Linked DNA regions of Pelodiscus sinensis. The main gene of each other region encodes a partner of the protein of the gene in region 4 in a complex. Links are inferred from orthologs where the notes say so. Each region holds a gene or a part of one and is shown on either strand. Other genes may lie near its edges. The genes, in order: ZFYVE28, RICTOR, MAPKAP1 and RPTOR.

Region 1 (7,133 bases), on a different chromosome or scaffold from region 4:
GAAGTGTAAGAATACCTCATAATCTCTGGCACATACAAGGAAATGTACAGAGTATCTCTCACTGCAGCCAAATCCAGCATTGTCTAGCTCCCTCCCACCCTGCACCCACACCTCCTGGGTGTCCATGCTAAATTATATAGGAATGCTCCGTGGGACAAACCAACTACTACAGGGATCCTTGAGACATTTCAGGCCAGATAATAGAAGGGGAAAATAGCTGGCATAATCAGGTAATATATGGACGAGTAGCATCACTAATCCTAAATTCCCATCTTAATTTCTAATTAACTTGTTTTTTAAGTCTGTATTTCTCCCTGTTGTGTTACTTTAAGAAATATGTTACAGTAACAAAAGTTTTAACAGATACTTATTTCACAGGTAGCTGTTTCTGGAGGAATACACAATTACCAATTACAATCAACAAAACAGATTGTGAATATAATGCACACAAGAATAACTTACTTTTATCCTTATAAGCAAACCATATATGAACAAAAGTGATGCTTTGGGGAGGGAGGCAACTTTGTTTTTTTATTTTTTAAGAGCAATTACACCATTAAAAATGAGCTATTTAAAATGTTAATGACTTTGATGATGAATACTTCACCACAGGTTTGAGAATTTCCTTTGCTAAAAAATTAAGTGAAATAATACTATTCAAAGAACATGCTATTAATTACAGTAAATCCATTTAACCAAAACTAGATGTCTCTTAAACCAACATCAGTTCACTTTAAAATCTGAATCATTTCAAAAGAGCAGCATCAGTTAATGCATTTACCAGTGAGTTCTACAAATCTGTGTCTTTGCCAAAATGTTTTCCTGGATTTTTTTTAATGGTTTCTCTCTCCCCTGCTGGGTAAAAGATGTGCACAAAGAACAAGCTGTCTATGGATGGGAAACCATGAAGGTGACTAAATACAAAGCGCTATATCAAGTTTATAAACAACTCAAAGAAAAATTCCACCTGCCTCCAATTTCTCTAAGTTAACACTTGTTAACATTTCAAAAAGGGATATTTAATCAGGATTATGATTATATATGAAATTCTACAAAACCAGCATTGCCTAAACTATTATTTAGAGCATCAAACAAATATACAACTAAAGGACTAATTATTTGGATGAAAATAGCAACCATTTTTTGAAATATTTAATATGAGACTTCACACCATATTAAAATAGATTAGTTACTTCATATCATAAAACACTGCATTATCAGGTAGTTCCATTCATTGCCTAGACATCAGCAAGATACAACAGCTATCCAAAAATATTAACCACCTTAATGTACAACCAGAATGTCATACAGAAAAAACTACTGCTCGCCAGACTCCTGGCATTACTTTACCTGTTTCAGAAGCGTCTGATAATTCTCACGTAAACTGTCTTACAAATCTTGCCTTATGCTGTTTTAAATTAATTAATTTGAGGCAAAACACCACCAGAAGACATCCATCCACAAACTGCAATGTAACAAAATCTTCACTTAGAAGGTCTCACGTTATATAGTAGTATTCCACTAAAATATAGTATTAGCTGCATTTGACAATGTGAACATTCTAATCTCTTTCCAAATGGCAAGCACATTATATGTAACAACATAGTAAACAACTGTTATAGGAGTTTAATAGAAACTAGAAGTCCAAAGGGAATAAAGAACTGCCTAGTAACTGAAGACTACTCTGGAACAGTAAGTCTCACCCACTAATCCAGCATCTTTACATCATCATCATAGAAAGACACAGTAAGGAATCCTCCAGTCAGACAACTATCCCCAAGAACAGTATCAGAAAGCCTCCCCCTCATCCTCTTTTGTTGCCAGGTCCAAACAACAATAAAGCACATGCTCTGCTTTGTCATCTCGCCTCCTTGAGCAAATAAGCTGCCTGAAGGGCTCTCCTGACGCGCTGAGAAAACGCTCACTCGAATGCAGGTGCCTTGCAAATCCGAGCTCCTCCTTCGCTGTCTCCGATTAGCTGCCTCTGAAGCCACAGTGGATTATTATCAGCAGTACAAATACAACAAGATCCCGTATCTCTACAGATCGCGGCTGCCTCCTTTTTAAAACCGCGTCTACTTTGTAATTAAAAGCAAAACCCGCATACTCTTCCACTGCCAAGGACGTAATTTGTGGTAAATTGAAGACACAGCAAATCACGGGATGCCCGTGAAAGATGAGGAAGGCTGCGAGTGCGGCGGGTTCCCGAAATCCCGAGTCAGCGCCATACACTGAGCAGGGGAGCCTGTGGAAGCACCCCCCACAAAGGCAGGCACTACCAGACCCTTCCTCGGACCTCTTCCCTAGCGCTGCAACACCTCAGCGAGCTGCCCGGTAAGACCTAGACAATAACCCACCCTTCACCTCCTGCTCCCTCCTCTACCCACAGCAGCTCCTAGATTAATGCACGGGGACGGGCACCGCGGACAGGTACCCCCGGCACAGCCAGGCCGTGCAAGGGGCTCCCGACAAGGGCTCCACTCACACCAGGGATCCTACAAAGCGCCTCGGCCGGCTCTTCCCGGGACCCGAGCGGCGCTCACAAGCACCGGGCGCTCCCTCCCCCTCCAGCGGGCTGACCTCAGGGGCACCCCCAAAACAGAGCCGCCGCGCCCGGAGAGGCCACCTGCTTCCCAACTTACCTTGGGCTTGTAGAGCCACTTTCGGAACCTGTTCATCATCCCCCCGCTTGCTGCCTCCACGGCCGCTTCCCGCCCCGGCTGCTATGGGGGGGGGGGGCTTATGCGGAGCCTTGCTCCCCCCCGGCACCTCAGGGGGACCCGCCGAAACTCCGTCCCCTCCTCGGGCTGCTCTGCGGGGATGGGCAACCCGCCCACGCCACCCCTAGGCTGGCGAGGCGCCGGGACGGAGGCTCTGCCCTGCGGTGGAGCGAGGATCCCGCAGGCCCCCTCAGGCTGACCTGCCCAGGCACCGGCCGGCAGCGACAGCGGCGCCTCTCTTCATTGACAGCCCCCCAAACATTCCAGTGCCGCCAGCAGCAGCGCTCAGCCGGCGCATGCGCCCGGCCAGGCCCGCTCAAGCTCTGGCCAGCGCTCTCTGCTCTCGGACCAATTGGAAGGAGGCCGCGGGGGCCCCCTCCGCGTTTACTCCTCCCACGCGGCTGCTCATTTGCGTAACATGGATCCCTCACCCTTAGCGAGTTCAGTGCAAGGGGCGGAGGGACTACCAGTCCCAGCATGCCACGCGTCTTTCCCCTTCGTCTCCCCTCCCCAGCCCAAGGGGCCACTGACATAAGGGCGGCGCGTTGTGCGCTGGTACTTGTAGTCTTGTCATAGGGCAATTCTATTATTGTTACTCAAGCGTTACTTAAGCACATCATGATTATAGCCCACCCAATTCCTTGGATTCCGGCAGTTTCTGGGGTTAAAATAATCCACCAGCTGCAGTCCCAGTGCTCAGTTGCTAGGCGACAATAGGTAAACATTCGCCGCCATCGCTCTTTTAGTCTGGTAGTTTTTTACCGCTCCCTGGACCATTCGGAGAGATGGAGGCGGACGGCTAAGTGGACTACAAACCCCAGAAGCCTTCGCGCCCCCACGCTGCTAGATGTCTGGAGAGAACCGAGCAGTCTCCGGGTGAACTGTGCTGGTTCTGCTGTGGCTCCAGCGGTGAGTGGGTGGCTGGGTGTGAGGGGGAGGGTGACCCTTGCTGTGACCCTTGCTCAGGGATGCGGAGCCTCCAACTTCAAATACAAAGGTCTCATCACAGCCCGCTCGGGGAGGCGGGTGGGAGAAGGAAAACTCCACTCCAGAGCTCGCCCCAGCCCTTTCCCTGTTTGAGGCTGGCAGATATTTAGTTCTCGGTGCGAGTCTTCAGGATGAAACCCAATGCTGCTTCACTGCAAATTAAGCACTGGAAAAGGAAACCTTAAAAGCCACATTGTGTCCATCCTGCACAGATTTTAAAGGCTGCTTTACTGCAGTTTGTTTGTTTAGAACAGAGTATCCTTTGGTAAAGTTTTCCCTCTCCCACACTGCGGTGGAGCTTATTAGACTTGCTGGTGGCCTCCCCTTCCTCTTAGGAGGTGGCTGTTTTTCATCCTTATTTCTGTCTGGTGATATTCCCCACGTCCTGGGCACTTTCCAGACAAGATCCCTGTTGTAAGAGTAAAGAGAGACAGCAGGTAGAGAAGGAGCATTACATACATGCAAGTACTCCAGCTAATATGTCAATGTAAAATTGCTAAAATAGGACAGGTAAATTGTAGCTAATTACTCCACAAGCATAACGTTGACATATCCCAAGGCATGTTTCTGAAGCACTTTGGGGTCCTTTATGATGATAAGTACTAAAAACACATGAGAGACAAAGTAGGTAAGCAAGTATCTTTTATTGGATGTACTTCCCTTGATGTGAGATAGAAACTTTTGACCTACACCAGAGGTGGGCAGTAATTTTTGATTGGGGGGTCACACCAAGAATTTGGTAAGTGGGCAAAGGCTGCATTCTTCCATTATCTTAATGTAGGTGGTGTGGGATGGAGGTTGGATTCAGAAAGGAGCTTGGAGTAGGAGACTAGGTTGCAGTAGGGAGTGTAGGTTCTGGGAGGGAGTTTGGATGAAGGAGGAAAGCCACTATTCTATAGTAATAGGACAGGAGATTGTGGTGCAGGGTCCTGGAGGGGGTATGAGTGCTAGAGAGGATTCTGACCTGTAGGAGCCGTGTAGGAGGGGGTGCAGGTTTTTCTGTTGTGACTTGGGGCAGGGGATTGGGATGCAGGGTTTGCGAGAGGGAGTGGAAGTGCAGGGGGTTTCAATTACGTGGGGTAGTGTGCAGAAGGGGGGTAGGAGAATTGGGGAAGAGAGGCACTGGAAATCCAAAAGCAGGCTCTGGCCAGGAGGTGCTTACCTAGACAGTTCTCTTCCAGAAGTCCAGCAGGCTCCTCAGGCAGACTCCCTGCCTTCTGAGTCCCTGCACACAGCTCAGAGGTTTCCCAGTTCAGTTCACTAGAGCCACCAGTAGTAATGCCAGTGCCTGGATGGGTCAATGACAGTAGGGTCAAAGCTAAGACCTCTGGATCTTAGTACTTGAATCTCTACCACCTGAGCTAAAAAATTCAACTCTCTTAGCCAGAGGTGTAGCAGGTTCATCATTCTAGTTGACCTACCACAGAGTAGACATACCTTACACAGATAAACATCATCTGTTACATACATAACCATAAATACACTTTTGATAGACACAGGAGAGAAGACAAAAAGGATTCGGATGTGTATTCATGTGCATAAGTGAAGGGAAAATAATTGAGTTCATTGTGTAGAGGTTAACCAGAATTCTAATGGCCAGGGGACCTGACAGGATTTCTGGGCCCCTGGGCAATGGGCAGTTGGGGGGGAGGAGAGGACCCCTCCATGCTCCTCAAAGGGGAGGGGGCCTCAGGAAGAAGAGGTGGGGTTGATACAGACAGCCTGCAGTGCCTTCCAGACAGCTCTGCACCCATGGGTGCCATTCAGGAGGGGGGCAGTATCCCCTACTACCAAGTTTGAACCCCTGGATTTCATACTTGAGGTCTGCTTAAACCTGCATGCCCTGGTCCAAAGGCAGCTCTTAACTGCAGTAGAGTTTGAGCTGCTTGCAGCTTTGCCTTTGGGGCAGGGAGTTTGTTAGAAAAAGAGGGAGGCAGGATGATTAAGAATAACAAGACTGATCATTTAAGTAATTAAGGGATCATTAGACCATCATGAAAACATTACCAGGTACTTAAAAGCTAGGGAGGAAGGGAAAGGAGTAGCCATGAGTGTTGTGCTGCTGGGATTTGCATTTGGACCAGTACTGTTAAATTTTTGAATGTTCTTGAAAAATGGGCAAATTCTGTGATGGCAAAATTTGCAGGTACTACAAAATTACTCAACATAGTTAAGTCCAAAGCTGACTGCAAAGACTTACAAAGGGACCTCAAAAAACTGGGTGACTGGACAACACAATGGCAGATGGAATTCAGTGTTGAGAAATGCTAGGAACAGGCAAAGGGGGATGGATCATTTGATGAATGCCTCTTCTGATGATGCTTTCTGAATATGGTGACTATATTTTCTGCATTAAATTAGGGACATGTTAGCTATGCCCCTGCCAAAAGAAGCCCCAACCCTGGAGATAGTGCTCCCAGGGTCAAGATGGACACATGACCAGAAGTAAAGGGTGTCGTGTGACCCCTCTAAAAACTCCTCCCACCATCCTTCTACCAATAGAGATGGATTTTGCCCTCATGGATTTGGCCCATGCTACTATCCTGAAATTGCATTAACCCAATTTGCTTTGCATTAACTGAGGGAGAGAGTGGAGGAAGCGTTCTCTCTAAGATTTTCCTCCCATGAGCAGAGTGAATTTTGTCTTGTGCATTTGTTCGGATGTGTCCCATTAGAATAACTGCTATTGCACATACTACTTGTGTTTAAAAACCCCATTTCCATCTAAAGTTATGCTGGTGTAAGACAAAAACATGCCACAAAGAGAAGCTATTCCCCCACTCCAGTTGATTATAACCATGAAATGGTGTGATTAAATATTAAGGGTGCAGAAAGTTATATGGTAAGTGGAGGTGGTTTGGTGTAGCCATGTTTCCCTTCCATTAAGTTTTTTTACCCCACATTCTTTGCAGTTTTCATGGTTTTATTTCCTTCTGTGCCACAGAAATGAGAAAAGCATCTGGGTCATTTTGAGCAGGATCTACTCAATCTTACTGAATTTCACAAGAACCGTATTCAGTCCTGATTTAAGCAGATGTAATTCCCCTCAAGTAAATAGGATTGCAACCTTTTAAGGCTATTAATTGAAATTCTGGGTATGGTAGTAAAGGGTAAATGTCTGTTGATACTGAAAACTTTTTAATAGCTCAGAATTAGAAAATATCCTATTATACTTTGCAAACAGAGGGATGCCAGTTTGTGGATTTCACTGATTTTTAATGGCCTTCCACCTTATTGTGAATTTGGTTCCCTTTTTATTTTACTGAAGACAGCATCCAAAATAAACAATTTGATTAACTTTAAACAGGTTTTTTTTAAATGACAAAAATATGTTTAAATATAGTCACACACTGAACTACTGTTAAGAATCTTTTTCTGTTACACAGTACCCGTATCGGGGGTTCTGACAATTAATTATGGAGCTTG
Region 2 (8,168 bases), on a different chromosome or scaffold from region 4:
AATAGGGCTGTCACACAATTAGAAAATTAAGTGTGATTAATTGTGACTTTTTTATATCTCATGATTAATCACAGTTTTAATTGCATTGTTTAATAATAAAAACACATTTCAATGTTACTGATAGTGGCATGGTGTGTGTGTGTGTGTGTGTGTGTGTGTGTGTGTGTGTGCGCGCGCGCGCGCACACGCTTGAGAGCACTGACTCTTTAAGCAGAGCTTTCAGGACCCTGAACACTTTTTCAGCCAGCAGCAGCAGCAGCTATCATCAGCACTCACTTCTGAGCCAACAGCAGACAGGTTCCACCATACCATGACCCTCGCTCAGCAGCAACTGGGATCATAGGCAGGGGGAGTGAAGACCCCAAAATCAGCTCCTCCCCACCCCCACTGGGCACAGCAGACAGAAAACATGATCTTAGTCCACTGCAGCTTGGCCAATAATGGTTCCATGGTATGCAGGAGGAGAGAAATCAGGAGCAGCAGCGGAGCAGGGCAGGGGGAAAAGAACTACCTGTGCAGAGGCATGCAGCAGCATCCTTGTGTGCAATTAATGCTAGTTAAAAAAATGTTTGTATGTTTTGAGGTGATTACATGTTTATGATTGACAGACCTAATTACTACTTTTTTATTACAAATATGTACACAACAAGCCGATGCATAAAAAGGCATAAACATGTTTAACATATTTGGCATGCAATCTCTTTGCAATTACATTGCAACACAATCAAGCCACAAAATTGCATGTTCTTACTTTCAGGTGATATTGTAAATAAAAAGCTGGCAGCATTATCTCCCATAAATGTAAACGAACTTATCTTAGTGATTGGCTGAACATGTAGTAGGACTGAGTGGACTTGTAGGTTTCAGACTCTTACTTTTTTTTTTTATTACATAGCTATACTCAAAAACAAAATAATGTGTAAGTTTCCCTTTCATGATAAAGAGATTGAACTGGGTTACTTGTATGAGGTGAACTGAAAAATACTCTTTTCTATGGTGCAAATATTTGTATTAAAAATACAAAGCAAGTTCTATACACTTTGTATATTGTGCTGTAATTGAAATCAACATTATTGAAAATGTAAAAATCCAAAAATATAAATAAACTCAAATTGGCATTCTATTATTAACAATGCAATTAAAACTAATAATGATTTAAATTTCCATCAAGTTAATTTGTGTTAAATTAATCACTTGTGTTAACTAGTACTGACAACTCGAATCTTTAAAACAACCAGCAGTCCCGTGGCACTTTACAGACTAACAAATATATTGTATCATGAGCTTTCATGGATAAAACTCACTTTATCAGATGAGTATAGATTTTACCCACGAAAGCTCATGATAATAATGTATTAGTCTCTAAGGTGTCACAGGACTGTTGGTTGTTTTTAAAGTTACAAACTAACAGGTTACCCCCAGGGACTTTTAATCCTAATCTTAAATATTGCATCTGATCCCACTAGAACAAATATGGAACAGGTTTGAAGTGACGGCTACAAGACTTATCATAGCCCCAAAATCATTTATTACAAATTGTTGAAGCACCATCTGATACACAGTGACAAAATGAGGTGGGTCTGTAGGTTGACTTGGGTGAGATTTGGGCTGGAGAGCTGTCCAAACCCCATAAGAAAAAAAAAACACCACCACCTGCAGCCAGTAAATAATTACCCTGAAGAAAGGAGGCTTCTACCAACAAGTACAGAGGAAGGAGAGAAATGTATATGTACCAGATCCCACGCTCACCCACAGAGATGGGGGAGGTGACCCATATACCCCTAGCAACAACCTCACCTCTTCACTACAGCCATCCAGACTGTAATACTGAAAATAGCCTCCTGCCTCTCAGTGCTTCTGCAATCTGGTTACACACTAGAAGCCTACTCCCCATGGGTACCGGCCAGTGTCAGGACTGCAGACGGGCCGGAAATCCGCTCTCACCTGGGACAGCAATCCAGGGCTCTCCGCCCCAAAGCAGCCACCTCTCATGTGGCTTAAGCAGCCCCCCGTGACGCACACAAGCCCCTCGCCCAGGGCAGGGATGGGATGGGACGGGACGTGCCTCCCTCGGCCAGGCCCCCCCGCCCCGGCCGCGCCTTAGGGTCCGTGTTTTACCCACCTCACGTAGGGTAGGGGCGGAGCTGGACTCCTAGGGCACCTAGTGACACCCCAGCCTGGCCTCCCCAAGGCCAGCCCCCCCCCCCCCGCACGGGGCGCCCCCGGCCCCGCTTACCTCGGCTGAGATCGAGCGGGACGTTCTCCTCGCCGCTGTCGTTCCGACCTGCGGAAGGGGGAGGGAAAGCGGAGAGCCTGTTAGCCAGGGCGGGGAAGGGACGATGCGGTGGAGGAGCCGCGGCGCCTCCCGCCGGGCCTAGCCGGGCTCCTTACCTCGGATGCGGAGGTGCCTCAGCGAGCGGGCGCGGAGGCTCACCGCCATGTTTACAGCCCCGCAGTCACAACACCGGAAACCTCGCCCGCTCTCGCGAGGAGACAGAGCCGCCGCCGCCGACTCCCGCGGCCCCTACCGGCCTGTCGCGAGGGGGCGCGGAGCGGCCGGCGGCGGGCACGAGGAGCGGGGCCCCGGCTTGGCAGTTGAAACGCCGGCGAATGAGCCTGGTGTGACTGGGGGAGTTGTCGGCCTCCGCCACATACACATCGCCCGTCCCTCCGGCCAGAGCGCTTTCCCTCAGCACCCCGAGGGGCGTTTCCCTCCATTCGCTGCTCCCATTCCCAAGGCAGGGGGAGCCTCACGGGCTAAATTACAGCGCTGGGGCAGCCGCCTTCACCGACCCGGGTCCCCGCCGCTTGGCTCGCGCCTGCCGCTTCTCCCCCGCCCTGCTCCCATTCCAGCCCCTTGAGTCTTTCACAGTCTTGGAAAGCCCCAGAATCCAGAGAGCCTGAGCTTGGACTTAACAGCGCGAGGTGGTTTCTGTGTATCAATGGTGGGGAGGTTGTCTGCGTCTGGTGGGACTTGGAGCACGTGGCTGCGCCTCTGCGACCAGGAGGACTGGAGGGTTTTTTCTTTATCTGTTTCTTAAGTGGGAGCTGGACTTCTCACTGAATTCCAGCAGGAGCTAGGGCTTTCAGGGTAAACAAAAACATTTGATTACCTCCCGCCAGACAATCACAACTATTGATAAGAAGTGTTGCCAACAAGGCACTAGATCAGATGTTACTTTTCTAGCCTTGTAACTTTAGCAGACTTCTCCAGCAGCTTTTACCTCTGACCCGGTAAGCAGTGCAAATGAAACTGTTGTTCATGAAAAGGCCCAAAAATGGTAGATGTAAAACAAACATTTTAGAAAACTTCAGCCTGCCCTTATCTTCTGTCACTTACCCTGTTGTGCTGCTTTCAATCTATTTCTACACCTTTGAGGAAAATATGGCAAAATGCTTCCCCGTCTCCCTCCCAGAAGAGCTTACAGTACTGGAAACTGCCTTCCTACATGACAGACTCAACCAGCATCTTAAGATGTCGTGGCTGAACCGTTAAGTCAGGTACAAAAAATAAACAAACTGCACTTGCTCAATGACAAGGTCATAATTCAAATAAGTAGAACCACTGGACATGTTCCATGTCAAATATATTTGTCAGGGAATTTTTATTTTCAGATGTAGACTAATTAAAAAGAACAAGAACAAAATTAAAATTCCACATTGCTTTTATGGGTCTAAATAAAATAATGGGAGTATTTATCTAATATTATATACTGATGTATTTCTCTCATTTAATATTTTATAAAATTCTAATATTTAACAAATTAAGCACATGCTCAAAGATTTAAGTCAATTCATTAACTATATGGTCTCCCAACACAGAAACGCCACATCTTTTATACCCTCATGCATGGCGAAAGACCAAGTAAGCAGAAGTGCTTTAAAACATGCCTTGAAGGTCAGGAAACTCTGCTTCTGAAGGACCACAGATGGAATAAGTAGGAAGTAGGAATAAGAGATCCTCCGGAATAGGGCTTTATTCCGGAGGATCGGGCCAGTCTAGACGCTTTTTTCCAGCTTTTCCCCAAGCCGAAAAAAGCGGTGGACATCTTTATTTAAATCCCGCGGGGGATATTTAAATCCCCCGCAGATTTCCCTATTCCGAAGTTTAAAATTAGCATGCCCCTTTCGAAAAAGGGGCCAGTGTAGACGTAGCCATGGAGCTGTATAGATCAACGTGAACACCTTGAATTGCATTTACAAGCTCAAGTTAGAATAACAGCTTTGTGTCCTGCAGCTGATACTAAGCAGGTTGCCAACCATTCTCTTCTCTCTGAAGTCCACCTGATATCATGTATTCTGAACTATTACATTATCTTATCCACCATCTCACTGTGCTGTCTCTTATCCTAGCACTTTTTCCCTATTGGACACATAGACCCCAAAAGAGGCAATCATCCCACTGAAAAAAATAGATAAGGTGTATGTGAACAGCATTGCCACACAAAACTATTCATAATTTACCCTATGAATAAACATACATATTGAAAAGAAGGAGTGCAACTTTGGAGACCTCTAAAAGAGAGATCACTTGGGTCAAAAGACAATGCTCCAATATCTGTTTTAGAAATCACAGAGAAGAATGAAATTACTCAGGCAATCTCATCTACCCCAGGCAACATGTGCTATTGATTCAACTGAGCCTTGTCCATACCAAAGATACGATTTAATATTATAAACTGATAGAAATTATCCTTTATATTTTAAACATTTGATTTTTAAGTCTATTTGTGAAAAATAGCTGTTTATTATGCAGAAGAAGAGTTTAAAGAACTTAGCACACAAGCCATGACATTAAACTATGAACACACAAAATTAAAATAAAATGGCATTAATCTTCTCAAGTGAGCTCTGCGCTTTTCAAAGTGCAATTTTACTCTTAAAAGTTTTTATACAAAAATGTCATTGTCTTACTCAACAGTACTCTTTGTATTTTTCCATCAAATCATCTAGTGCTGACATCTCCTCTTGCTAATGTTAGTGACTAAAATAAGCTTTGACTGCTGTTTGCAGAGCCAACACAGCTAAAAGGGAATGAGCTACAGATTGTATTTTACACAACATCATCAACAGAATTATTTACTTGAATTTCCATTGGTTACATGCCTCTGAAAATCAATTGGAAGAAACAAGTTGCACAGATGTAGTTGAAGTCCTAATTTAACTTTCAGTTCCTTTATTATTGGTAATGTTATGGGATAGGAAGAGCCTTGGAATAATTCCATAATCCAGGCTGAGCTTGCTGGACTAGAGATTTTTTGTAAAAAATCCTTTTTCAAGAAAATCGAGCACTGATATAAAAATCATCTTGTCTATATTGAGATCATGACAAGCATGTTTGATTTAAAAATATGATTATACCATTAAAATTGACTTTCATTTTCTTTGTTAACTCTTAGAAATTAATTTAATGTGTTTGAAAGCCATGGGATTGAGAGCTCTGGATATCAGTCTCATCAAGCTATAAAACTGGGACAATGTAGTTCTCACTTCTTCATACAGCTTTGTCAATGTACCTTGCACTTTAGCCAGTCAATGTGAGAGAGGGCATGAGGGTCCATTCCATACAACAGCTCTTATACTGGCTTGCTTAGCTGAAGCCCCCTGCTTTGCAATCCTATTTACAATAGTCCCAACTTGATGTTATCACCTGTTTTCCTACAGAAGTGTGGGACAGTATAACTTTGCAGATACTCAGAAATAGCATATTCAAAATAAAGCATTATTTATTCATTCCTCCAAGGTATAAAACACACAGAGCAAAGAGTAAAACAAATAAAAGGCTTATATGCATGAGTCCTTTCTTATGTCTTTAGTCCTAGTTTCGGCCTGAGGAAGGATAATCTATCCTGGATGGAGTCAAATAGGATATTCCTGCTTATTTCTCCTCTCCTTTGCTTCCTCAAGGAAACATTGTTTTAGTTCTTATGAGTAAAGATATGCCAGGTCAGGGAGGGGTCTGGGCATGAAGGGGATGGGAATGGGGCACTTACCTGATGCCCCACTCCCAGGGGTACATGCATTTCTATGCCTCATGCTGCTCCCAGAGCCTGTTCCCTCACTGCTATGGGAACAGCGAGGAAAAGCTGCAGGGGAAGCACATCGCTATGCTTCCGTTCCCCCCAGCTTGGCAGAAGGAAAAGCAGCAGCATGAATAGCCACTTCCTCCTCCATACCATAGATGTTCTTATATTAGAGACATCCAAAGTAAGTAGGTTCAAATGTACAAGGTTTCTGCTTTCAGCACTCCCACAATAAAAATTGTCCCAGCACTCTGTTTGAATCCTGTGAGCTACAAAATTATAAACTATTAAGCCCATTATCTGTGCCATACAGGCACTCACTCGTGTTAAAAAGAACTCTACCACTATTCTTCCAAAAATAGGGGTAGTTAAAAAAGAGTCACTTTTTAAATGTGGGATAATGTTTTGCTTTTGTTTTGCTCTGAAACAACGTCAGCTAGCAGAGGGATCACAGTTTAATTAATGAAACAAAAAATAGGACTATGTAGCATTTTAAAGACTAACAAGATGGTTTATTAGGTGATGAGCTTTCATGGGCCTGAGGAAGTGGGTCTGGCCCACGAAAGCTCATCACCTAATAAACCATCTTGTTAGTCTTTAAAGTGCTACATAGTCCTGTTTTTTGTTTCAGCTAGACTAGACTAGGCTATATCTCTATTAATAGTTTAATTAATAAACTCAGTCTAACAACTCTGCTAATAAAAACCAAAATTGCTTATGATGATGATCCACAAAGTAGTGTCATACCAATGAGAGCCATATTTATTTCCACTCCAATGAAGACAAGAGGAAAATCAATTTTGCAACATTAAAAAAAGTTGAGGTTTTATTTTCAAGCACCAATTATTACAGAGAAAGTAACTTCCACTTGGATATTTGCCAGATCTTCATAGAAGTCTGCTGTAGAGGAAGTCTGCTCCCCTATCTGGTGACTTTCAAAGTTCATGCCCTGGAAAGAACAGCCTTCGCAGGACTGGGAACAGCACAATTTCAATCCTTATGTACTGTGATGCTATATGGAATCGAGGGACAATTCAGGATATTTTGAACACCAGTATTGTAAAATCACAAAAAAATTGTGTCAGATATGCCCTGTAAGGTATGTGCAAAAATGTTATAATTTGCCAAGTATGATAATCTTGTTTGTGTTTGTATTATCTTTGTATTATGAGTTTCTTATAGGTATGTATGTATGTCTGTATTTCAGACTGGTGTTTATGCTTCTGGATGATAGCTTGGCATCACTGCTCCCTACCTTATTTGATGACTCATCAAGGAACAGCAACAGTAAAGGGAATCAATTGAAAAGGTCAAGGGCTACACCTTCTGACTCAACAGGGCATGTAGGGACATGTTTATGGATAGAACTCTAAGGCTTCCAGGTCACTGCTGGGCAGATTGTATTTGGAAAAGAGGAAATACAAGTTGCATGGCAAAGGTTAGCTTCATCTTCTCCATTTTGTCTTTAGTGTTTCTTACCTCTAGCAGGAGTGGCTGGTGCCCCAGGCAGAAAGTGCGATCAGCGCCCCCGCCTGCCACATCATCGTCGGGCACCCGGGCCAGTGGCGCCCTAGGCAACTGCCTAGTTTGCTTAGGCTCATGGGCCACCCCTGATCTCTGGCATAACCTTTCTACAAATAAGCTCTGAACTAAATGACCCATCCAAGCTATGGATGTGTTCCAGAAGGTTCAAGCCAGCAAACTCACTAATACAGCTAGAAACCTGATGAACTTTGAAGTTTATGTATATATGCGACTCTTTTATGAATTTCACATCTCTCTTCTTGACCTTTCTTGGAAATAGATTAACACCTTGAGTTTGTTTACTGGACTTAATGTACAGCATAAGAACCAGCTACTGTCATAGTACAAAATGGCTTTATTGTCACCATGCACTCTAGTAATGAAAGAGGTAGAAAAAAGTGATGGAATACAAAAGAACACACCTGACACTTTTCATTTTTCAGCTTGCCTCAGTGAGATGCGTGATTATGGCTCTCTTGCACCTAGCCATCCTATTTGGATGCTGGAGAAAACTCCCTGGATGATACTGAGAGAAGAAAAGCATGTAGCCTAATTTCATATTCTATTGGATATGAAACTCAGTACCCGAATCATAGTCCTATTTATTGGCTGCTGCATCAC
Region 3 (8,194 bases), on a different chromosome or scaffold from region 4:
AATAATGGGGACAGTTTTAATTACAACCAATGTAGTTATTTTAGTTCCAGCCTGTGTATTGACTAGAGATGTTAAACATTCATCGATTACAGGTTTATAAAAATAAATGTGTAATTGCTGAATTTTTTAGCTGTTACTAGTATACATGTGGGGGCAGGCAGGCGTCGCTTTTTAAACCGGCTCCCACATGCTCCCCCTTGCTCCTCACCCCACCCCCACTGCCTCTGTTAGAGGGGCAGCAGCATGGGTGACCGGTGGCTCCCTGGGAGACAGTACACACAGGCAGCTGACTTGAAAGAAGGCTTCCCGCATATACCAGTTCCCATGTGCCACCTCCCACTCCCAGCACTGCTGCCTCTCTATCATCGTTCCCAAGAGGATGGAGAAAGGCTGTTTCACAGTAGGGACGGAGCAATAGTCTCAAGTTACAGTGGGGGAGGTCTAGGTTGGATATTAGGAAGAAATTATTTCACTAGGAGGGCAGTGAAGTACTGGGATGGGTTACCTAGGGAGGTGGTGGAATCTCCATCCCTAGAGGTTTTTAAGTCTCGGCTTGACAAAACCCTGGCAGGGTTGATTTAGTTGGGATTGGTCCTGCCTTGGGCAGGGAGTTGGACTTGATGACCTCCTGAGATCTCTTCCAGCTCTATGATTCTATGAGAGGCAGGCAGGTCTGAGGGAGCTGGTGCTTATGCGGAGCCAGCTTTTAAGCCAGGTCCCACGAAGCACTGCCTCCCACCTTCCTCTCTGCGCTGCTGCCTCTCTGGGCAGCGGGGGGAGGCGGTTCTGCAGGAGCCAGCTCCTTACGGGAAGTGGCTCTCGCCCTCCACCCTGCCCCCACTGTCTCTGATACAGAGGCACCACTGGGGGACTGCAGGTAACTGTTAGGATTAACCAATGAGCCCAGCCTTATTGGTTAATCATGTAAACGAGTACACACTAACATCCTTAGTATTGACAGGACCTAAATAAAAGGTGAGCTAAACTGAAAATAGTCTACTTGACAACTGTCTGTAAACTAAACCACATGATGAACCATTTGGGGCATCCAGGCCTATAATATTCCTGGCCAAGATGACAACCAATTAGTGCTTATTTTAATAAGATTAATTTCAAACCTTATCTTCGTCTTAATAGAAAATATACCACACCCTCTCCCATACTGAAATTCCCACAGTACGTGAGCACTGCAGTTTTCTGGCAACCCCTTCTCATGGGTGTCAGAAAACAAGGCAAGGGACCAGCAAATACACAGAGTATCATCACTTTTAATGGTTACACTGCAAGCACCCTGAACTGCCAGGGTAACATCTTAGAGGGGGTTGGGTGATCCAAATCAAAGTAGCTCACACAACAGGATATGTTAATACGAGAGTGCAATAGCAGAACCCAATGGAATACATTACAGTATTATCCCAGGATATCAGGTCCATTGTACTTCCTTATGGGAATCAGAAACTCAGTATCTAAACCAGGGATGGGCAAATACCAGCCCACCGGCTGGATCCAGTCTGTCAGAGTCAGCACCTGGCGGGCTCCCACACCGCTGTAACCGCCATATTTACCTGCACAGATATGGAGGAGCACCGCATCTGTTGGCCGCCGATCACCGTTCCCAACTAATGGGAATCATGACCCCCCCCCCATACCTGTGAAAGTGAGGTAAATACAGTGTCAGCGGCTCAAAGGGGGCTAATGCTGCGGAAATGCTGCTATTTTATTGTCCACACCTGATCTAAACCAAAGCCTGCCAACAGTTTCTCAAGTTCTATAATGCACCCGAGTCCTTTTTTTCAATCATGTCCCACCAAATCTTCACAAATTTTCCCCTTTCAAATCACTTCTTAGAAGCCCACTGGATCTACACTGTTTATCCCAACTATAGCTTACTGTCCATTTACTCTACTTATTTGTGCCATTACCATGAAATCTTGCAAAAGGATTGGCGAGCATTAAGTAGGCTTTATAAACTATAACGCGACACATCCATAAAGCTCTCTAAATAGACCACACTAATTGCATATGTACAGGATTCTGATATGTGGACATAAGTCTCTCAAAAACCCTAAAGGCAGAATAACGGTTTCTTGCATTTAGTAAGACTTTTAGGCAGAGCACATGTACGATTCTACAGAAGAATCTCTAAGTCACAGGAGCTGACGCCCCATTGTCACCCACACAATGTTATGAGTTAGCAACAGAACTGTGCCCTAACAGGCATGCTAAGGGTTCTAGTAGTTACCGCCTTTCGGCAACAACACGTGGTTCGAACAAAAGACAGGACTATGCAGCACTTTAAAGACTAACAAGATGGTTTATTAGGTGATGAGCTTTCGTGGGCCAGACCCACTATTTGCTCTGAGGAAGTGGGTCTGGCCCACGAAAGCTCCTCACCTAATAAACCATCTTGTGAGTCTTTGAAGTGCTGCCCAGTCCTGCCTTGTGTCTCAGCTGCACCAGACTAACCCGGCTGCATCTCGATCGCTATTCGGCACGAGGCTCGCTGCGCTACGTCTCGCAGCTCTGTCGGTCGGCAGCGAGCGGCTGTTTGTGGCTCGGTCTCAGCCTCACGCCCGGGCCGGGCGGCCACGTGCCATCCCCGCTCACGGGCCGCCGGCGCGAGGAGGCGGAAGCGGCGGTTGGTGCCAACTCCCTGTGGGCGGGCGGGCGGGGGGGGGGGGGGGGGGGGGGGGCTCAGCGCTGCTCGCCGGGAACAGGCCCCCGGGGCTTCCCTCCGCGCCTCGGCCTGGCGGGGGGGCGGGCTCCTGGTCCGGCCAGGGGCGACCCCGCTCTGCCCAGCGTGAGGGGCCGGGCGCGCGGCGCGGCGGGGCCCGTCCCCACTTACAGGCCTGGCGGGCGCTGCCCTCCTGCGGGGCCGGGGCCGTTTCCTGCCCCACCGGCGGGGCCGCTTCCGGGGCCGCAGAAGGCTCTGCCGACGCCAGCTAGCGGTATGGCCCCCGCTAACCCGGAAACACAACCTCCGAGCGGAAGTGACGGAGACAGCAAAGCCGGGGCCAAACGCCGTTGGCCTCGGGGGGGGGGGGTAGACGTTGCACTCTGCGCATGCGCGCGGAACGTGGCCGCGCCGCGCCCCCGCCCTGGCCAAGGCGCCTCGTTCGGGTGCCTCAGACCGCGGAGCGATGCGCGGGGGCCACTCGGCCAACGAGTAACTAGCCGCCGCGCAGGCCCCGCCCCCTCCGCGCGTAACGGAAAACAGCGGGGCGGCCTGCGGCTCTCGAGGCCAACGGCTGCGGCGTCAGGTCCCGCGCGAGCACAGGGCCCCGCCCCCCCCGCCGGCCCGGCGCTCCGGACTGGTGGGGGCCAGGGCCCAGCCCGCACTGAGCAGCCCCGGCTCACGCCCCCCCCTCTGAGGAGACGGGGCGGGGGGGGGGACTGGCTTTTAAGCTGCCCCAGCCCCTGCTGCCCCGCCCCCTTTGCTGCCTCTGTTGCGGAGGCAGCAAGGTGGGAAGCGAGCAGTCGAATAGTGACCCAGCTGTCCAGTAAGCCAGGCTCACCGGGGAGTTGGCTACTAGCCAGGGTGCACAAGAGCGGCCGTACTGGGTCAGACCACAGGGCCATCTAGCCTCACCCCTTGTCACTTACATCCCTGCGCAGGACTACTGGTTTCTCTGTAATTGCTTAGTGAAATTCCGTTGTAGAACAATGGCTACTTTTTAAATCGATGAATGAGTGACCTGGCAAGTTAAAATGTTCCCCTACAGGTTAAGTGTGTTGCCATTTCTGAGGTATGATTTGTGTCCATTTATCCTTTGTCATAGAGACTGACCAGTTTGGCCAATATAAGAGGTATGACATAAGAAAGACCCAACAAATGCAGCCAAGAAAATAGTGTAATTAAGATAAATTTGCATCCCAGATTTCTCATACTGGGTTATTTCAATATGGCTATGTCTATACTGCGCCTGTTTTGTGCAAGAAATATGCAAATGAGGCTGTCTAGAATATTGCTGAGCCTCATTTGCATAATTTACAAGGCTCCATTTTTGCACAAGAGGTTTTTGCGCAAGAGCCATTCTTCCTCATTTTTTCAGGAAGAACGGCTCTTCTGCAAAAGCCCCTTGTGCAAAAATGGAGCCTTGTTAATTATGCAAATGAGGCTCAGCAATATTTTATACAGCCTCATTTGCATATTTCTTGCACAAAACAGGCACAGTATAGACATAGCCTACCTGTTTCTCGGGGACACAAGTTGCTAACCTACAGTAGACCAGGGATTTACTTGGTTCAGTACTTTGCCTCCAAACAATGACCAGGATCAGATGTTTCAAGGGGAAAGGTATTCTTAATAATGGAGATTGCCTATCTCCTAGAACTGGAAGGGACCTTGAAAGGTCATTGAGTCCAGTCCCCTGCCTTCACAGCAGGACCAAGTACCACCCCTGACAAATTTTTGCCCAAATCCCTAAATGGCCTCTACAAGGATTGAACTCACAACCCTGGGTTTAGCAGGCCAATGTAGAATTCATGCTGGGGTTTTCTATAGTGCTCGTCACTGTAATTGGTCACTATTTCCCATGTAAATTATGCATGCACTTAGTTAACTTTCTGTTGATACACTTTGGTTGTTCCTTTCTGCCACACATTAATCTTGGTCATTGTAGCAAAACTTATAAAAGAGGATGGTTTTGCAATGTGTCCCAAACATGGTCAGACTCTCTAAAGGAGAGCAGGCCAATCTGAACTCATTTTATACCCTTTAGTCTCTGGCTTTCATGTGCTTCATTTTGTGCTTTGTGGGATCTGTTGTTTCAGAGAAGTGCAGACAGCTACCCCTTGTATAGCCTAAAAAGGGCAGAACAAGTGAAAACACAACTTGCACAGACAATATTTTTGGGGGGGCTGGTATTGGTTCATCAACTGAAATAAGCTGTACCAGCAAACAGATTACTATAGAACTTGAGTTCTTGAACACCTTGGGAATGGAAGTTATTCCTAACTCTGAAAAAAACATTTATGGTTCTTTCAAAGTTTTACAATTGAAATTGACTTATTACAGCTTTTATTTTTTACTATGCAGTGGCCCGCTGACCAATTCCTCCCTTCACTTTCCTGTGAACAGCTGATTTGCAGTTTAAGATGAGCTGGGAGGGCAAGGGAGGAGCAAGAAACCAGGTGCACTCAGGGGGGAAGGTGGAGTGGAGCCCGGAAGAGGTGGGGCAGGGATATGGGCAAAGGAGTGGGACTGGGAGCAGGGCCTGAAGCACAGGGGAGATCTAGCACCGCCTGGCTAGAAGGGATGTCAGCACCTTTGGGTGGTTTCACACTCCTAATCAATATAGTTCTACCTACAACATTTTTAAGTGTAGCCCAGGCATGATGGTATAATGAATGAATGATATATTTGATGATCAAGCTGGTCCTGAATATTTGATAGCTTTATTAGGACAATTATCTTCAATTGGCAATAAAACTGTACAAGGAGTTAGTATGGGGATCAATGCACAGGACACAATGAGTTCAAGGAGACCCACCCCAAAGAGGTGCTGGATTTTTATGTGCTATATGAGTTAGAACCTCTGTACATCTTCAATGCACATAATTGTACAGTGAATTACAGCCTTTTCTCCATGACTTGGTGCAGACGAGTTTTAAATGTCCCGAGTGGCAGCTTTCATCACTTTCTTTGAGAAACTATTCCACAAGTGATAACTACTTAAGTCGTGCCTGCCAGCCTTTAACTGGAAGAAATGGACATTGCTGGGAATAATTTGCTTTTCGGTGCGATCCATTTTGACAGACCTAAGTGCACACAAGCCATACAATACAGCCTATTGTGTCTCATTGATTCTATGTACAGAATGCAATCTCCTCCAAAAGGTGGACATTGGCACTGCAGTTTATGGGTCAGTTTGCACTGAGTGCCAATGCTCACATTAGTTGCTATTATCATTATTAGCTGCTAATAATAATAATATTAAGCATGTTCAAAAATCAGATTCCTGGTATATTTTGTGAAATGCAATGTCCATGAATGTGTAATTTACAGTGTCTCAAAGGTATACTGTACTGCAGTACAGAGAATCACTATCATAAATAAAGGGAGACATGGATAAATTTATAATTAAAAATGCACTAGCTATTACAAGGATAATTTATTTACTAATGTGCACTGGAATATATTTTGTGTAATATTTTAAAAGTGACAATAAATAATAGTAAAATGTTATGGCATCTAAAATTATTTTAATAAATATTAGAATTAATTATGCTACACTAACTGCTGCAAAATTCAAATAAAATTATTTAAATAGGAAAACCAAGTTGAAAAATATCACAAACGGTATCTAATAGTTTCAAACACAGGAAAAATATAATACAAATAATAAAGGCTATTCATCTGATAGATCTTCTTTCAGATTAATTTGTAGGTTTCTGAAAAGAGACTTGGGTTCTATTCCCATCTTTACTAACCTGTGTGGCCTGATGTAAATACCTGTTGATTTTTAATAACCCTGCCATACATACAGTTTCTCTATAGTTTACGGGGCAAGCAGATTACATTATGAATCCACTTTTATTCCTCTTCTAACTTTGACTAATTTTCATCTAAATTTTCACAATACAACCAGCAATTTGCAGGCCAAAAGCCAGTTTATCTAGCCCAACAGTTTGAGTTATAGGTCACCTCAAATATAATGAGCTATTGTTCCTTCAAACTTTCTACCTATGTAACTGTAACTGAAAAACACTAATTGTAATTACTATAGTTTGTACACGAATAGTTGGCACATATTGTTTATTTGTACTACCATAGCAGCCATGTTCACTAGTCATTGATCACAACCTTGTTATGATTGGTGCTGAACAAACACAATAAAAGGCAATCCTAGCCCCCAAGAGCTTACAATCAAAACAGAAAACGAGACAACAGAGGGATAAAAACATATGGGGAATAAAAGCATATTATTAATTATGACCGACTGGTTTCAGACTGCCGATGGTGTAACTGCTGTCCATTTTTGCAGGCGTCATGGTGAAGGTGAGTTTCTGGAGATCAATGCGGTAGCTTTGTGGATGTTTGCAGGGAGATTCTTGTAAGTGTGAGGGGCAGCACTGTCAAAGGCACAAAGGTGCTTGTTTGAAAATGTAACAAGTGGACAATGGAGGCTGGTGTCAGTGGGCAAGGTGGGAGTTGGCATTTTGACAATGAATGAGAAATGATGGGGATAATCTATGAAGGACCTTGAAAATGAAAACAAGTTGCTTATGTTTGATTTGATAGAGACGGTACCAATGGAGGGATTCAAAGGGATGACATGATCTCATTGACAATCTAGGAAAAAATATTCCTGCAGCTGCATTTTGAATGGATATGAGCAGTGCATATTTCTATTTGCCAAGAGTAATCTTCTGGCAGAATCCCCCATCAATGCCACATGGCCCTAGTAAGCATATGAGCACCTGTGAGGTCAAAGCCTATAGCACAAAGCCAATTTTCAAGTTAATGGGGTCACTTTTAAAAACTGGCCACATCTCTTGATATGGCTCAGGGTTGGGCCAACCAGGGATTGAGACTGAGGAGCCAGAAAAGGAGGGATGGGAGGGCCAACGGAACCTGGGACACTGACCAGGTCTGCATCCAACCCTGATTCACTACTGGCTGAAGGAAAAGTGGACCCAGCCACCCCATGGGTCATAAGCCCCAAATATCAGTGGTGCAGCGAAGCCTCAAGTTGGCACACCATCACCTCAGTCCCAAGGACGGAAGGTAGGGGGAGCTGGGCACCTCATAGCTCCGAGGCCCAAGAGTAGGGGATCAGAAGAAGCTGGGCACCCCATGGCTTCATACCTGAAGGGTAGAGGATATGGGGGAATTGGGCACCCCATGGACCAAGCTAAGGATGTTAAATATTGATTCATTTACTAGTGGATGGACAAAGGTGGAACTCTTGTACATTTCAAAGGGGAAGCACCTGCATGGAGCCTAAATGTACAAGAGTCCCCAGCAGGGGCTCTTGTGCATTTCAAACTGGAAATGCCACATGGAGCCTGGGATCAGCTAGGAAGTCCCAGCTGACCTGGGCTCCATGTGCCCCTGCTGTCTTGGATGTCTTGAAATGTCACAGCGGTGTTTCAAAGCAGCAGCACCACACGGAGCCCAACCCCCACCTCCCATGACTTGCTTTGCTGATAGAGGCAGCAAAGGGGGGGGAGGGTCAAATAGTCCTTAACT
Region 4 (8,110 bases):
CAGAGATCCAGGAAATAAAATGGGGCTACAGTCCTACACACACAATGCCCCTGGACCCAGAACTATGTAGGGACAATGGAACCCAGAGAGCGCCTCCTCTCCCACCATCCGCCCTTCGGGTAAAAAAACTATAGGGAGGAGCCAGTCAGAAATGAAATCAGGCAAAGCATACACAGAAGCTGTTTAAGCAGGATCAGAGGATATTTTCTACAGCTCTGATTGGACTTGTTCTCATCTGTGCTGGTTGAATGTTTGCTCCAAGCTTCTACCCAGTTTCTTTACCTCAGCTTCACTCCATGCTTACCCCTTCCTCTCCTCCTTATCCCATGCACCCTCCCCATGTACCCAGTACTCTAAAACCCTTCCCCTCCAAAAATACTGTGGAACTAGTACGACTGCTGTCATCATTTTGTCCATTCTATTTGTACATTAGATCCTTTTCCACTACCCTTTGTCTATCTTGCCTATTTAGACTATAAATTCTTCAGAGCAGACACTGTACTACACTGTACAGATGGGGGCCTAATGTTGGTGTTCCTAAAACCCTACTGTAATTAACATTGTCAATAATAAGTCATCTCAACATTCCCAGAGATTTGAAGTGTCTGTGGAAATTTGGGGAAGATGTGCGGAGGAGGTGGTTATTAAATAAGAATTCTATCACAATTATGGAACATTCTAACATCATAATTATTTGTGGTAACAACAAGAAAACCAAAAATAAAAGCAGCAGCGCAGAAGTAAGGGTGTTTTGTGCTGCTGCCTTCAGAGCTGGGCCGCTAGAAAGTGGCAGCTGCTGACTGTAGACAGCAGCTCAGAAATAAGGGTGGCAATACCACAGCAAACCATCCCTATTTCTGCAGTACTGCTGGTAGCAGCTCTGCCTTCAGAACTGGATTCCAGTCAAGCAGCTGCCACTCTTCAGCTTCACAGCTCTGAAGGCAGCACTGCGACCAGCAATCATGCAGAAGTAAGGGTAGTAGTACTGTAACCTCCCCCTTTACAATAATCCCGTGACACCCAGACCCACAATTTCTTTTTGGCTCTGTAATTGTAATGGTGTACAATTACACCACCATGAAATTTCAGATTTAATTAGCTGAAATCATGAAATTTACTATTTTCAAAATCCTAGGATGGTGAAATTGGCAAAAATGGACCATAAATCTGGTAGGACACTACCTATTGCGTGCCATCTAGTCCACCACTAGAGGCCCAATATAGAATTGCTTCTTAAAACACCTTTTTCGAGATTACAGTAATAATGAATTGAGAAAGTTAGTTGTTTATCAGGTAACTGTGGTTTGGAAACATACTAGGTGTCCATACACAGACACACAAAGGCAGTATATACCCAAGAGCTAAGAAAATCTTTAAGTTATAGCCAGTTCTGAGAGAAGATCAAGTGCACACTCTTTTCCATTCCACTTTTATATCTAACCAGAAAAGTTTAACTGTAGAAATCAAGCCACAGAGGACTACATGGGCCTGAGAGAAAAGTTTGCTTTTTAGTAGCAAAGCTTAGGACTAGGAATGTGAAGGTTTAACCAGTCTCATCCTTAACAGGTGTGGCTTACAGGTTAAAGTTAACCAGTGGGGGAGTGGAGCAGCTCCCCACCTGCTATGGGCTGCCCCAGCCCCACAGGGGGCCTGCTATGCATGGGAGGGTGGTGCTCCAGCCAGGCTCCTGCCTTTGCTCAGCTCCCCTTTAATTAGTTAATATGCTTAACCAGTTAGCCAATTAAATAGGATTTTACATCCCTACATAATACAGCATCCATTTAATGTTCTGTAGATATTCGGTCAAGAAACAATATCCTGCCTTGTAGGTTAACATGTTTAAGGATCAAATAGGCATCTTCCATCTCAAAAACATCATGAGCCTGACATTGCTCTGGTAAGCATGCATCACTCATATACTCCATGCAACATGCCAATGGAGGACTAAAAAAACCTCAAAGGAGAACTTCACAGAATATAATACTTGCATTCATTGCACCCACTGCCCATGCCACTAACATGAACCAGTGAGGTCTGTTTTAAGACACCACTAATGCCACTACTTTCTCAGAAGAGCACCAATTTCGCAGAAACTCAGTGTAGCTATTTAAAATGCATATAATTAGGAACTCGAACAGTCTTCCTTTTAAGTTGTGTGTTTGTGCCGCCACTCAAGAGAGGCTCAACTGCCACCCGGCTGATCAGCAGAGCACCCACAACTAGGTTTTGGGTTTCTACTAGTGGTGCACATTCACACCTGCCTCTGTGTGCACCCCAATGTATTCCGCACATGGATGGAAAAGATGAGAGGGAACATTGGTAACCGTCACTATTAACTTCTTCGTGTGTTCACTTCCACGGTAGCGATGCAACAAGTGCCTGGGCCCCAGGCAAACCTGACTACTAGAAACAAACTCTAGCGGTGCCTCCGACCACATGGGGCAGATCAAAACCAGAGCCGCCACCTACCCCTCCCCCCGCAGAAGTCCCCCGCCCCGGGGCATTACCCGGTCCTTCATCCTCCAGCTCTGGGCCAGAGACTTGGAGCCCTCGATCTTCTCGCAGTGCCGCTTCTTCATGAAGGCCAGAGGCAAGTTCCAGTCCGTCAGGTCCGACTCCTCCTCCTCCCCTCCGACCCCCAGGAGAGGCGACTGCAGCATCTCAGCCTCCATCGGGAGAGGGGGGGAGGGGTCCGGCCGCAAGGGCTCCGCGCTCTCCACCCCCGCACAGGCCGGGGCGGGCGGGTCCCTCTGCCGGGCGGGGCTCAGGGGCAGGAGGGGGAGGGGTCCCAGGCGCGGGGGGGCCCGACCCGGCTCCGTGCAGGGGGCGCCCGCAGGCAAGCGGCGTCTCCTCGGCCCGGGCAGCGCGGAGGGGTCGCTGAGCACTCGGGGCGCCCGGGCCTCTAGCCCCGCGGGCAGGGCTCGCTCCCCGGCTGCTGCGGCGGGAGCCGGGCTCGGCCCATCGCGCCCTCCCCCGGCTCCTCCCCCACGCGCGCTGGCTCCGGCCCCCGGCGGAGGGGCCCCGTCCCGCAGCGCCGGCGAATGAAACTCCCCTCAGGCGCACACCAAGGAGGCGGCCATATTGCCGCGGCCCACAATGCACCGCGGGGACGGGCCGCCGCGGGAGACAAGCCGCGCCGGCCGCGTTCGGAACCGCGCTTCGGCTGGGGGAGCGGAGCCTCCTCCTCGCAGCCTGCTGGCCCAGTGCCTGGGGGTGGGCGTGTCGTGGGTGACCCCCTCCAAAGGGTGCCCCAGACTATCCCCTCAGAACCCCCAAACACCTCCCCTCCAGAACACCCCAAACCCTGCAAACGCCCCACAGCACCCCGCAAAACACCCCAGACCCCCCACATTCCGCACAGCACCCCTCAATAACCCAACCTTCCGCAAAACACCCCAGACCCCCACATTCCGCACAGCACCCCTCAATAACCCAACCTTCCGCAAAACACCCCAGACCCCCACATTCCGCACAGCACCCCCTCAATAACCCAACCTCCCGCAAAACACCCCAGGCCCCCACATTCCGCACAGCACCCCTCAATAACCCAACCTTCCGCAAAACACCCCAGAACCCCACATTCCGCACAGCACCCCTCAATAACCCAACCTTCCGCAAAACACCCCAGAACCCCACATTCCTCACAGCACCCCTCAATAACCCAACCTTCCGCAAAACACCCCAGAACCCCCACATTCCGCACAGCACCCCTCAATAACCCAACCTTCCGCAAAACACCCCAGAACCCCACATTCCGCACGGCACCCCTCAATAACCCAACCTCCCGCAAAACACCCCAGAACCCCCACATTCCGCACGGCACCCCTCAATAACCCAACCTTCCGCAAAACACCCCAGAACCCCACATTCCGCACAGCACCCCTCAATAACCCAACCTTCCGCAAAACACCCCAGAACCCCACATTCCGCACAGCACCCCTCAATAACCCAACCTCCCGCAAAACACCCCAGAACCCCACATTCCGCACAGCACCCCTCAATAACCCAACCTTCCGCAAAACACCCCAGAACCCCACATTCCGCACAGCACCCCTCAATAACCCAACCTTCCGCAAAACACCCCAGAACCCCACATTCCGCACAGCACCCCCTCAATAACCCAACCTCCCGCAAAACACCCCAGACCCCCCACATTCCGCACAGCACCCCTCAATAACCCAACCTTCCGCAAAACACCCCAGAACCCCACATTCCGCACGGCACCCCTCAATAACCCAACCTTCCGCAAAACACCCCAGACCCCACATTCCGCACAGCACCCCCTCAATAACCCAACCTTCCGCAAAACACCCCAGACCCCCCACATTCCGCACAGCACCCCTCAATAACCCAACCTTCCGAAAAACACCACAGACCCCCCACATTCCGCACAGCACCCCCTCAATAACCCAACCTTCCGCAAAACACCCCAGACCCCCCACATTCCGCACAGCACCCCTCAATAACCCAACCTTCCGCAAAACACCCCAAAACCCCCACATTCCGCACAGCACCCCCTCAATAACCCAACCTTCCGCAAAACACCCCAGAACCCCACATTCCGCACAGCACCCCTCAATAACCCAACCTTCCGCAAAACACCCCAGACCCCCACATTCCGCACAGCACCCCTCAATAACCCAACCTTCCGCAAAACACCCCAGACCCCCCACATTCCGCACAGCACCCCTCAATAACCCAACCTTCCGAAAAACACCACAGACCCCCCACATTCCGCACAGCACCCCCTCAATAACCCAACCTTCCGCAAAACACCCCAGACCCCCCACATTCCGCACAGCACCCCTCAATAACCCAACCTTCCGCAAAACACCCCAGACCCCCCACATTCCGCACAGCACCCCCTCAATAACCCAACCTTCCGCAAAACACCCCAGACCCCCCACATTCCGCACAGCACCCCCTCAATAACCCAACCTTCTGCAAAACACCCCAGACCCCCCACATTCCGCACAGCACCCCTCAATAACCCAACCTTCCGCAAAACACCCCAGAACCCCACATTCTGCACAGCACCCCTCAATAACCCAACCTTCCGCAAAACACCCCAGAACCCCCACTTTCTGCACAGCACTCCCACAAACACCCTACAGTTTATAGGGTATTACTCCCTCCTTTTCCTTCAGTCTTAAGCAACACATAGGCCATGTTTTGGATATATAAGTGTGACATAGGGCTAAGGGCCTTAGGCTAGTACAGTACTTAATAAAGGTGTAATTTCTGCAAGCTTTAAATACAACCTAAATATACATTACTTTATTTAATAAGTTAAGGAAACGGCTCTGTCATAGGAAGACTCCTTTGCCAGGCACATGAGGATAACCTCAAAATACTTACTACTGATTTTGTATTTGTTTAGCAGTAGCTCCCAGAGGGCCCTAATACAAGCAGGCGCCTGATTGTGCTAGGCACTGTACAGATACAGAACATATAGGTGATCCCTGTTCCAACAGATTCACAGCATGTAAAGCAGGCATGACCAGTACAGTCGGAAAAGGTGAACAAGGCTCAATGAAGCAAACACAGATAATTATTTTTCAAATACTTTTGTAACTGGCTTCACTCTGTTGGGCTTCTAATTCTTTTTTTAACATTATACCCATCTTTCTTACCAATGCTGACTCTTTTTGTTCACAAGCATTGTTTTCCTTCTTTCTTCTGGCTGGAACTCAACCTCACATAGCAGCTGCTTTGCTGATTTTTAATTGTTTACTTAGACCACAAAATCTTTGTGCAACCAAATCAACTTTGAGGACCATGGTCTTGGACTTAGTCCAGCACAATTCTGAGAAGACCATCAGCGTGACTAGCAATGTCTGGATGAAGAGCATAACCCTTTCGTGTTTGGAGAACAGAAGTTAGTTTCAGGGATCTGTTTCCTATGGCTGTGTCTAGACTGGCCAGTTTTTCCGGAAAATCAGCTGCTTTTCCAGAAAAACTTGCCAGCTGTCTACACTGGCCGCTTGAATTTCCACAAAAGCACTGACTTCCTACTGTAAGAAATCAGTGCTTCTTGCGGAAATACTATTTTGCACAATAAGCTTTTGCGCAAAAGGGCCAGTGTAGACAGGTGAGATTTGTTTTGCGCAAAAAAGCCCCGATCGAGAAAATGGCGATCAGGGCTTTTTTTGCGGAAAAGCGCGTCTAGATTGGCACGGACGCTTTTCTGCAAAAAGTGCTTTTGTGGAAAAGCGTCCTGCCAATCTAGACACTCTGTTCTGAAAATGCTTTTAACAGAAAACTTTTCTGTTAAAAGCATATCCGGAAAATCATGCCAATCTAGACGCAGCCGATGTGTAAGGGCCACATGAATGGGTGTTGTAGCTCCATTAACTTCACTGAGGTTATTCTGATTTACAGCAGTTGGCACAAAGTACCTGAAAGATAATAAATAATACATAATAAACAGGATTGGATCCTATTTTTATCCTATTGTATCAGGACAATATATGGAGAGTCCTGATTTTTTTTTAAAAAAAAACTTCATGGTATCCATACATTTATAGTTGGACTTTTTCACAATAAAACAAACAGCATTTAGTATTGACGAGAACATAAGAACGGCCAGACTGGCTCAGACCGAAGGCCCATCTAGCCCAGTGTCCTGTCTACCGTCAGTGGCCAATGCCAGGTGCCCCAGAGGGAGTGAACAGAACAGGGAATCATCAAGCGATCCTGCCCCTGTTGCCCATCCCAGCCTCTGACAAACAGAGTTAAGGTGAAGGAGGGTGCTCCAGGGCTACTGTGAAGATGGAGAAGACTCCCCCCAGCTCTCACTCCTCGCAGCAGCACCTGCACTAGAAGGGAAAGGCACTTCTCCCCATAGGTTCCAGTTCAGGGATGTGTTTGAGCTGGGGAAGGGCTGCCCTGGTCACAGCAGATCCTGGTGCCGCAGATAGGGCTGGGCCGAGCTACTATGGCACGGTTCAGGGCTGGGCTGCCTAAGCCATGGCAGCCTGGAAACCAGATTAGGTTGGGGCCAAAGAAGAGGCCATCCTCCCCAGGCTACGGCAGGTCCCATGGGGGGTCCTTAAGTACTTGAACAATGTTAAATAGGCAGCTGCACAGGTGAATAGGACTGGTCCCAGTACAGGTCCCAGGGGGACACCACCTATTATATCTGTAAAACCAACAGCTGTCGGTGGGTGGGATTGAACCTGCATCCTTAGAGGCTAAAGCCATGAGCCTCTTCTACCACATGAGCTAAAAAACTAAGTTGCGCTTATCTCAGGCCATAGAGCAGCCTTCACTCAGCCTTCTCGGGGCCTCTGGTTTACATATCAACACCATCATTCCATACCAGGCACTCTAGTTCACCCATCTTATTATTTAGATTTCTAGCCTTTGTCTATAAGCACATTAAAAACGTGTCACTTTTTAGCTGTCTGCTGGTGTAATTGAATGTGACTCTTCTTCATGTCACTGTTTCTGATCAGATCCTGCCTGCATTTTGTCCTTTTCCATCCTCTCCGCCTTACTAGGACAGAGAGAATCTCCATGAATAGATCCACCCCTAAGGGATGTGTCTGATCCAGAATCCACTTTACATAAGTTAAAGGGGAAAATGATTGATTTCTCTGACACAAATGGTACCGTGAAAGTGTATAAATAAGTTTGGTCATGGGGATTCCTGTTTACATTATGCACAGCAGCAGAGTGTTCCCCAAATCTGGGGGCTGAAGGGAATTCTCCCCTCCCCCCCGTACCCACCACATGTCTAGGTTTTCATGCTGAAACTCCCTGACGTTTTAGAAAAGAGGAAATGTATGTATAATTATTTTGGAATAAACGATTCACAAAGGGGAGAAGAGGGGGTGCTATTTTATGCAGACTGGGACATTGGGCAGGAGTTGAATGGGTTTTATGTTCGCAGCACTTTTTTGTTAAAATCCTGCCAGGCATTGGTTTTCTGCCTGAAGTTGTTGAATGGGCTGGGATTTGTTTGTGTATGTCAAGCTTTTGTGATAAATTGAGCAGAAAATGATGTAACTGAACAAAAAGCAACCTCAAAAGAAAGCAAATTTATGATGGTGTCTTGTGCTCCAGGAGAATCAAGTAAAACTTTATGGTCCCCCTTTGTTCTCAGGGA

What was found.
Region 1: the proteins of RPTOR (region 4) and ZFYVE28 are in contact, whole or in part, in a cryo-EM structure (PDB 9F43), measured with the Homo sapiens proteins. The link is inferred for Pelodiscus sinensis from reciprocal best matches to the Homo sapiens genes RPTOR and ZFYVE28. Residues at the interface, in NP_065812.1 of Homo sapiens: Arg54, Arg305, Arg306, Thr317, Asp321, Phe337, Arg338, Leu341, Ala344, Arg348, Leu437, Gln438, Leu440, Leu441, Ser442, Gln443, Arg446, Pro474, Tyr475, Lys478, Leu479, Gln481, Ser482, Ser483, Ala484; in NP_066023.2 of Homo sapiens: Arg399, Val400, Phe401, Phe402, Met403, Asp404, Asp405, Val406, Glu407.
Region 2: RPTOR (region 4) and RICTOR share a complex: the UniProt entries of both Homo sapiens proteins name them as parts of the mechanistic target of rapamycin complex. The link is inferred for Pelodiscus sinensis from reciprocal best matches to the Homo sapiens genes RPTOR and RICTOR.
Region 3: RPTOR (region 4) and MAPKAP1 share a complex: the UniProt entries of both Homo sapiens proteins name them as parts of the mechanistic target of rapamycin complex. The link is inferred for Pelodiscus sinensis from reciprocal best matches to the Homo sapiens genes RPTOR and MAPKAP1.

What each region holds. Positions count from the first base shown.
Region 1 is NC_134715.1:117,544,617-117,551,749, reverse strand, and holds the start of ZFYVE28 (lateral signaling target protein 2 homolog), read right to left. Parts: upstream 3,040-7,133; 5' UTR 2,682-3,039; coding exon 2,643-2,681; intron 2,335-2,642; exon of another isoform or gene 2,206-2,334; intron 1,985-2,205; exon of another isoform or gene 1,351-1,984; intron 1-1,350. UniProt on the Homo sapiens protein: Negative regulator of epidermal growth factor receptor (EGFR) signaling. Acts by promoting EGFR degradation in endosomes when not monoubiquitinated.
Region 2 is NC_134716.1:104,047,350-104,055,517, reverse strand, and holds the start of RICTOR (rapamycin-insensitive companion of mTOR), read right to left. Parts: upstream 3,003-8,168; 5' UTR 2,441-3,002; coding exon 2,392-2,440; intron 2,285-2,391; coding exon 2,237-2,284; intron 1-2,236. UniProt on the Homo sapiens protein: Component of the mechanistic target of rapamycin complex 2 (mTORC2), which transduces signals from growth factors to pathways involved in proliferation, cytoskeletal organization, lipogenesis and anabolic output.
Region 3 is NC_134732.1:25,319,221-25,327,414, forward strand, and holds the start of MAPKAP1 (target of rapamycin complex 2 subunit MAPKAP1), read right to left. Parts: upstream 3,002-8,194; 5' UTR 2,846-3,001; intron 2,567-2,845; exon of another isoform or gene 2,467-2,566; intron 2,272-2,466; exon of another isoform or gene 1,566-2,271; intron 1-1,565. UniProt on the Homo sapiens protein: Component of the mechanistic target of rapamycin complex 2 (mTORC2), which transduces signals from growth factors to pathways involved in proliferation, cytoskeletal organization, lipogenesis and anabolic output.
Region 4 is NC_134730.1:28,325,392-28,333,501, forward strand, and holds the start of RPTOR (regulatory-associated protein of mTOR), read right to left. Parts: upstream 3,103-8,110; 5' UTR 2,673-3,102; coding exon 2,508-2,672; intron 1-2,507. UniProt on the Homo sapiens protein: Component of the mechanistic target of rapamycin complex 1 (mTORC1), an evolutionarily conserved central nutrient sensor that stimulates anabolic reactions and macromolecule biosynthesis to promote cellular biomass generation and growth.